Linked DNA regions of Oryctolagus cuniculus. The protein of the gene in region 1 interacts with the protein of each later gene in a biochemical or structural test. Links are inferred from orthologs where the notes say so. Each region holds a gene or a part of one and is shown on either strand. Other genes may lie near its edges.

Region 1 (3,877 bases):
GCGTTTATTGGGGGTCTCCGGCCTTCAGCTTCCCGGAAAGGCCCGGGGGTGGCCTTCCCGGAGTCAGATGGCAGATCGGAGGCAGCTTTCTCCTCCCCGCGTCCCTCATCGAAACCCTGAGCCCCATTGAGAAGTCCCTTCAGGGTTTCGGGAACCTCCCCCAGGGCTGGTACTTAAATAGACCGGAGTGAAGGAGGAAAAAAAAAAAAAGAAAGAAAGAAAAACCTTAAGCCTACAGCAGCCACCTCCGGGAGAGTTCTCCTGGCTCCCAGTAGGAGGCGGAGAGCCAAGGGGCGTGCGAGAGCGAGGGGGCTGGGCTCCCGGGTGGCTAGAGGCCGCGGGCGCGGAGCGGAGCGGAGCGGCGGCCCTGGATCCCGGCAATGGAGGAGCAAGCCAGCAAGCGGGCTGGTTCCTGAGCGTCGCAATTCCTGTGTCGCCTTCTGGGCGCCCAGCCTGCCGGGTCGCATGATCCCTCCGGCCGGAGCTGTTTGTTTCGCCAGCCGCCGCGAAGCCGGCTGAGTTACCGGCATCCCGGCCTGCCGCCACCTCCTCTCCCGACCTATGATACAAAAGATCTTACGGGGGTGCACCTGCCTGCTGTCGCCGGCTTAGACGGAATTGAATGTAGGTGGTGCGGGGGCGGCGGGTGGTGGTGGGGGGACTGCCCATGGGGTGACTTTCCGAGGACAGCGTTTCGGAGAAAAAGGGGTGGCTGGGATAAAAGAGGCCAGTGGGATGATTCAGAGCCCAGTGGTGCTTACAATTTGACTTCATTGAAGTCTCGTGGAACCTAGACCCAGACCTTCATAGGAGCCACAAAGAAACGAGTTTTGGTACCTGGAAGGGGAAGGGGATGTTGCGGGGGGAAATGGCATTTATACTAATTTTTTTTCTTTCCCTAAAGCTCTTTTTCTCCCTTCAGAGCCTTATTTTGGCTTTGGATCACAGAAGAGAATCCCTGAGCAGGTGTTCTGGACAATGGACTGGTTGAGCCCATCCCTATTATAAAAATGTCTCAGAGCAACCGGGAGCTGGTGGTTGACTTTCTCTCCTACAAGCTTTCGCAGAAAGGATACAGCTGGAGTCAGTTTAGCGATGTGGAAGAGAACAGGACTGAGGCCCCGGAAGGGACTGGACCAGAGATGGAGACCCCCAGTGCCATCAATGGCAACCCAGCCTGGCACCCGGCGGACAGCCCCGCGGTGAACGGAGCCACTGGCCACAGCAGCAGTTTGGATGCCCGGGAGGTGATCCCCATGACAGCAGTGAAGCAGGCTCTGAGGGAGGCAGGCGACGAGTTTGAACTGCGGTACCGGCGGGCATTCAGCGACCTGACATCCCAGCTCCACATCACCCCAGGGACAGCATATCAGAGCTTTGAACAAGTAGTGAACGAACTCTTCCGGGATGGGGTGAACTGGGGCCGCATTGTGGCCTTTTTCTCCTTCGGCGGGGCACTGTGCGTGGAAAGCGTGGACAAGGAGATGGAGGTATTGGTGAGTCGGATCGCGGCGTGGATGGCCACTTACCTGAATGATCACCTGGAGCCCTGGATCCAGGAGAACGGCGGCTGGGTAAGAACCACACCCCTCATTTGTCCCTGTGCTTTGGCCTCTGTCAGAGGACCCCCAGCAGCCTTTCCCTGCAGCTTCTGCTAGTTAGATGACTGTTGGAGGCACTGGCCCCATTTCAGCACCAGACCTGGTTCTTTCCATCTGGGCACCCTCATGACCCTGATCTTCCATGCTTATTTTCCAGTTTCTCAGCACAGAATAGCTGAGGTGTTGATCTGTGAGTGGGGGGTTGGTCCAGTGCCCCCCTCACTCTGGAGCAGTGGCTCTCCATGCTTTGAAAGGGTGACAAGCAGAATGTCTGGAGCAGGTGGTGGCGTGCCGGGGACCCACAAGTCGCTGCGTCCTTTCTTCTCCAGGACTGGCCGTCCTGACCTGGGCTTCCTTCCCTTTATTTCAGAGTTTTCTTATGTGGCCAAGCAGGAGTTCCCCCCAGTGGCTTGGTGGGTTCGGAATTGTCCGATTCTAGGTCAGCGTGGGCTGTGCCACTCGTGTTGGTGCTGCACCTCCTGAGTTGGTGCTGCACACAGCTTGCAACTTTCTGCACGGTTGGCCTGTTTGTGGAGCTCTTGCTGTGTCACGCTTTAAGCCCCAGGACTTTGCACCTCACTCGCTGCCTGGGGTGGGGTGAGGAGCTCCAGCTGCTCTGCCTCTGACTGGCCGGCTGGCAAGGCAAGAAGTCAGTCTGTGGGGCTCTGTGGGCCATTGAGATTTGGTGTCAGACTTTGGACGTGAGTGGGAGCGCCAGCCCTCTCTCTTGGCCAGCTGTGTGACCTTGGACAGGCTCTTTACTTTCTTGAGCCTCAGTTTCCTGCACTGGGAAACGTGGCCAGCTCGCCTGGTCTCGCAGAGTCCTGGAAGCCTTGGAGGTGGCGTGAGCAGAGTGAGGGACGCCAGGGAGCTCCCAGTCCAGACAGGGAGGTGTCTCTCTCCGTCCCTGAGTCACGAGGAGGTGGTGGAGGGACCTTTTGCACCAGTGGTCACTGCAGGCGGGGTTGGTCCTGTTTCCTTGCTGGTCTCCCTGCCCAGGGGAGGTGCGGAACACAGGCATTCTGTTCCCTCAGAAAATGCAGAAAATCCACAGGCTGTGGGGAATAAGTCATCCATTGAGGGAGCAGAGGTGGAAGGGCCGCGCACCTGGACTCAGGAATGCCAGGAATGTGATTGTCGTGGGCTGGGCCGGGGCGTGGCCGGCACTCGGTTTTACCGTGGAGCCAAACCTCCTGAGTTTCTCCTGGAACCCCACCCCCTGGCTCGTTTCCCGTTTCTTTGCAACTTCAGCTCATCTCCTCAGCAGGCTCTTGAAAAAGGCTAGGGGGTCAAGTCAGTAGGCGACGGGGTGGGGGTGGGGGTGGGGGTGGGGGTGGGGGTGGTAGAGGCCGGAGGCTCCCTGGAGCTAAGGCTGATAGACTTGAAAAGCCATTCTGTAAATGAACTCCCTGGGGGATAAATGATTAAACAGTTCCTGTTGGGTTTTGTGTGATGACCTCTCCTGGTCCCTCCTGCTTTGATTCTCTTTGGGGGCAAATATTTGTTCAGCTGATTCCAGGATTCCAGTACTACAGACACACCCTCGGAGGCATCTCTGTGGAGGGACGTGGGCCAGTTGCCCACTTTGCCTTGACCACTGTCTCTGGCCAGTGGTCCTAATACCAGGTGAGTTGTGGCCAGCTATAAACAAAAGGCAGGTTGGGAGAGGTGCCTGGTCTGCCAGCCAGTCTGCAGAGGGCCGTCCCAATCAGAGAATTGCCAGCAACCCAGCGTTGCGGGTGAAAAAGGTCTAAAACCCAGCAGGCCTGGGCCCGTCCATTCGCCCGCCACTGGATGGAAATTCCACCTCCCATCGCCTCGTTGAAAAATGTCAGAGCCCGTTGGACAACATACCACACACACACACACAGTCACACTCACACTCACACACACACGTCGCTTCCTCTTAGTGAACACAGAGGACGTGTGTAGAAGAGCGAGTTGTGTCAGAACCATTCCTGGGAGTGTGTTCTTCCCCTGAGACCAGTGGGTGAAGAACATTTGAGTCAGAGCCCTCCGAGCGAGCCGGGAAAGGTGCCACCCTGCTCTGAGCAGCAGTGACTGGCTACTGCAGTAGCAGCTCAGCCTGGAGGCCTCAGCTGAGGGATCCCTGAGCGTAGGAGTTACGGGCCACTCTGCCTGCCGACGGATGTTGTCTAAATTTGGCATCGTCACAGGAAAGGGAAGGAAATTAGCCTTTACGGAGACCCTCCTATGTATTAGGCATTGTGTTAGGTTCTTAAGCAATGAGTTTGCTGAGCGTTTACGGAGGTGGG
Region 2 (3,902 bases), on another chromosome or scaffold:
TCCTTCCTTAAAAGTACCTCCTTCTTTGATGGCTTGGGCCATCTTCCACTGCTTTCCCAGGCCATAGCAGAGAGCTGGATTGGAAGTGGATCAGCCGGGTCTCGATCTGGCACCCATATGGGATGCTGGCACTGCAGGAGGAGGCTTTACTCACTATGCCACAGCACCGGCCCCTGGTAGGGTCTTACTCAAACCTGTGAGACTGTTGCTACCATTATTATTTGTACTTTGCAGTTAATGAAATGGAAGCTCCACAATGCCACATCTCAAGGCCAAGTTCACCAGTGAGTGAGCAGTGGGGTGGGCTAGGAGAACTCTGGTGCGAGCAGATGAGGGGCGCTCAGATGCAGGGTGCTAGGAGAGGGAGGTCTTGCCTTGTCCCCACTTCTCCATCATCCTCTTCTCCTGCTGAATGCTGCATCCCCGTGGCCAAGCCTGCACTCTCTCTGCTGTAGAAAACATCCAAGCTGCTGGGACCCGACCCAGCGCCACCTTGGGAGCCCAGCATTTTGAGGGGGCAGGCATCCAAACAGGGTAATAATCGTCCCATTAAAATTAATGTCCATGAAGTGAGCCGTTAAAAGCGTGCAGATTAAAAAGGAGGGGGGGGGGATTGTTCGATTTAAATCCAAAGGGCTTTTTAAATAGACACTGTATCTTCATTCTTGGAACGCTACACCCGGGCAATGGATCAGGTCCCCCCTGCAAAGACTAGCGGGGATTAAGGAGGTGAGTCCCAGGAGAATGGGGGAGTGGATCTAGCCAAAAAGCAAAGAGAACCAAGGTTTATCCAAGGCCCGCCGCATGCCAGGTGCTTGGCATACATTTCTCTCATTTAATCTCTGCTCCAATCCTGGGAGGGAGGTATTATTATTCCTAGATTACAGGGGGCAGTATAAAACCATGGTTAACGGCTCAGAGCCTACTGCAGACCCAGACGCACGCTTCGCCTTTCACTAGGGAGCTGTGCCCTCAGGCCTTCCCCGTCGTGCCTCAGTTTCTTCACTAGGATAGTTGTGAAATTCACTTTGGGTAGCCCAGGCAAGAGCCCATCTGCAGGGCACCTGACCTAGAAGATGCTCAGTGAGTGTTGGCCATTGTCAAGGGCAGGAGAACCAGGGCTGGGTGGGAGCACAGGCCATCGAGAGCACATGGCCCAGCTGGGATCTGGCCTCTGTCATTTCTCCACAAGCCAAGGACAGGCTCCGCCTGACACATCCAGCCCAGAGCTAAGTTCCTGATCTTGAGGTAGCTCTTCCAAGGCACCAAAGGACTCCTCAGAGCTTGGCAAACCTCTGCTGGTGGGAAGGAGGGAAAGGAGAGCCTCCGGACAGCTTCCAGGTCACAGGCTCCGAGCCGCGGCGCCTCCAATGGCCTGAATCCCCGTGCTTTAAGACCGGAGAGGTCTCGTTCTCCAAAGACTCCTGAGAGTGACAATACCACATGTTGTAGTCTGCAGAACAGCGACCGCCCTAGGATAGGAAAGAGGAGGGCCAGAGTCATCCCCCCTCCCTCTCCCTTACCTTCGCCGGTCCCTTCGGGTCTCCACCGCGCACGTCTCTGCTAGCAACTTTAACCCCAGCAGGGGAAAAAAAAATTCACCAAGAAAGCAGACAAAAATCAAGTTCCCATGCAGAAAGCCCCCCTGTGAGGGTCTTCGGGGTTCGGGCGCTGTGCGCGCACCCGACCTTGGCCAGACCCCTCCAGTCCCCACCCTCGCCCTCCTCCAGGGTTCCAGCGGCGCTCCAGGCGCTCGGCAGGGTCTAGGCTGCGGGCGGAGCCGTGCGGGGGTGTGTGTTCACACCCAAAGGCGTACAGGTGCCAAGGCGGACCCGAAATGAAGCAGGCTGGGCTGCCTCTGGACCTTCCGCCAGACTTAGAATCCACCCACCTCCCCTAGAACCAAACAGCAGCCTGGGGGTTGTTTCTGAACGGTACTGCCCAGTTCTTCTATCCGCTTCATCCACAGCGGCCAACAAGCCTGCTGCCTCCGCCAAATCGGAACTGGAGCTGAAATCAGGATAAGGGGAAGGAGAAAACGTCTCCCTCGCGCTCCTCGTCTCCGCGGGGGTGCCCCCCCCCCGAGACCCCTCAAAGCCCAAGCTCTCCGCCGCGGGGCGCCTGCTCTCGTCCCAGCGTCGCGCGCCCCACCTCTCCCAAACCACGCGCCCCCTCGCCGCCGGCGATGCTAGGGTTAAAAGTTACCTCTCGGTTTCTTCTGCCTGCAGCCCCCCCCCCCCGGGGGCCGGATGATGTAACCCCCCTCTCCGCTCCCTCCCCGCCCCCATCCACCATGTGACACTTTAATTAATAATAGCTCCGTCAGCACAACAAACGCACTACACAAGGAGAAACTTGGTGTCCAGGGGAGGCCCCCGGCGGCTGGAGCGCATCGGCGGCGGGCGCAGAGGCCGGAGGGAGAGGAGGCGAGGGGCGGCCGGAGCGCGCGGAGGGAGCGAGGCGAGCGGTCATGTGCCCGTGCCCCCTGCACCGTGGCCGCGGCCCCCCGGCCGTGTGCGCCTGCAGCGCGGGCCGCCTGGGGCTGCGCTCGGCCGCCGCGCAGCTCACCGCCGCCCGGCTCAAGGCACTCGGCGACGAGCTGCACCAGCGCACCATGTGGCGGCGCCGCGCGCGGAGCCGGAGGGCGCCGGCGCCCGGCGCGCTCCCCACCTACTGGCCCTGGCTGTGCGCGGCCGCGCAGGTGGCGGCGCTGGCGGCCTGGCTGCTCGGCAGGCGGAACTTGTAGGAACGCGGGGCTTCTTGGTGGGGCCGGAGCCGAGACCCAGCCGGAGCGAGCAACAGGTACGCGAGCGAGTGAGCGAGAGCCAGAGCGCGGGAGAGGGGCAAGTTCGGGCTTCGTAGCGTCGCTTCCCCTTCTTCCTCTGCTCCCTTGCCTTGCAGGGATCTTGGTTCCCATATCTTTCCGAGCGGCAGGGCCACTTCTCTGTCCGCTTCCGTCCGTCGCCTTGAGCTCATCCTGCGGTTCCCTCCAGCGCAGTGGATCTGGCGCACTTGAGCCTCCGCAGCCCCCACCAGCCCCACAAGTAGACACTCGACTTAGGTACCAAGTGCCCCTGCTTTGAGAACGGAGTCACCACCCAGCCAGAGAATCACCCATCGCAGTTTCAAGGCAAATCCCTGGCCTCTGCCAAGCCGCTTGTCCTCCCCGCCGCCTCTGCTCCCGACCCCCTTCCCCGTAAGACCCACGTCCCCAGTTTCGGATCCCCACTGTCGCGCGCCCTGAGAGCGCACCGCGCCACTTCCTCCGCCTCCAGGATTCTGGCTGTTCGCTTTGATCTCCTCCAGGCCCGCGCACTTTGCAGTTTTGCTCCGCGCTGCCAACTTCGGGCCTCTCCAGCAAGCTGTCCGGAGTGAGGAGCTGGTTGGCCTCTTAGTCCCCACACGGCGTAGCTGCAATGAGATGTCCCAGCCGAGGGCTGATATTGGAGATTTAGGGAACCTCCAAGGGGAAGCCTGAATCAGGAGCATTCATTGAGCTCCTCTCGGGATGCCGGGCTTTGTTTAGGGAGGGGGCGTTTTGAGAGCTTGCTGTCTGCTGGGCGCTGCGCGGGGGTGGAGATGGGAAGTGAGTATCGAGTGCCTAATTTGTTTGGCATCGGTGGGAGAAAGGTACGAGTCCTTAGGCGGAGAAGTTCATGAGCCCTGGCTGTGTGCTTGGCGCTTTGGGAGAGCGCAATTGTGAGGATCCTCTCTCCAGGTTCTGGAGTAGTGAAGCGACAGAGAATGAGGGTGGAGAGGTTCGGGCAGACCCCACCGTAGGTGGAAGGCGAGCACCAGAGGTGGGGATGGCAGAGGCCCTGGGATGCCTGGGCCCGCCACGCCGCGCGCTCGCGAGTCCCGGCCGAGCCTGGCGGGGCGCACACACCTTAGCGAGCTGGCAC

Evidence for each region.
Region 2: the proteins of BCL2L1 (region 1) and HRK interact in a biophysical measurement, tested with the Homo sapiens proteins (3 studies listed by BioGRID and IntAct, with this or other methods). The link is inferred for Oryctolagus cuniculus from reciprocal best matches to the Homo sapiens genes BCL2L1 and HRK.

What each region holds. Positions count from the first base shown.
Region 1 is NC_091442.1:25,993,388-25,997,264, forward strand, and holds the start of BCL2L1 (bcl-2-like protein 1), read left to right. Parts: upstream 1-1,010; coding exon 1,011-1,574; intron 1,575-3,877. UniProt on the Homo sapiens protein: Potent inhibitor of cell death. Inhibits activation of caspases. Appears to regulate cell death by blocking the voltage-dependent anion channel (VDAC) by binding to it and preventing the release of the caspase activator, CYC1, from the mitochondrial membrane.
Region 2 is NC_091452.1:13,255,722-13,259,623, reverse strand, and holds the start of HRK (activator of apoptosis harakiri), read left to right. Parts: upstream 1-1,717; 5' UTR 1,718-2,470; coding exon 2,471-2,746; 3' UTR 2,747-2,802; intron 2,803-3,902. UniProt on the Homo sapiens protein: Promotes apoptosis.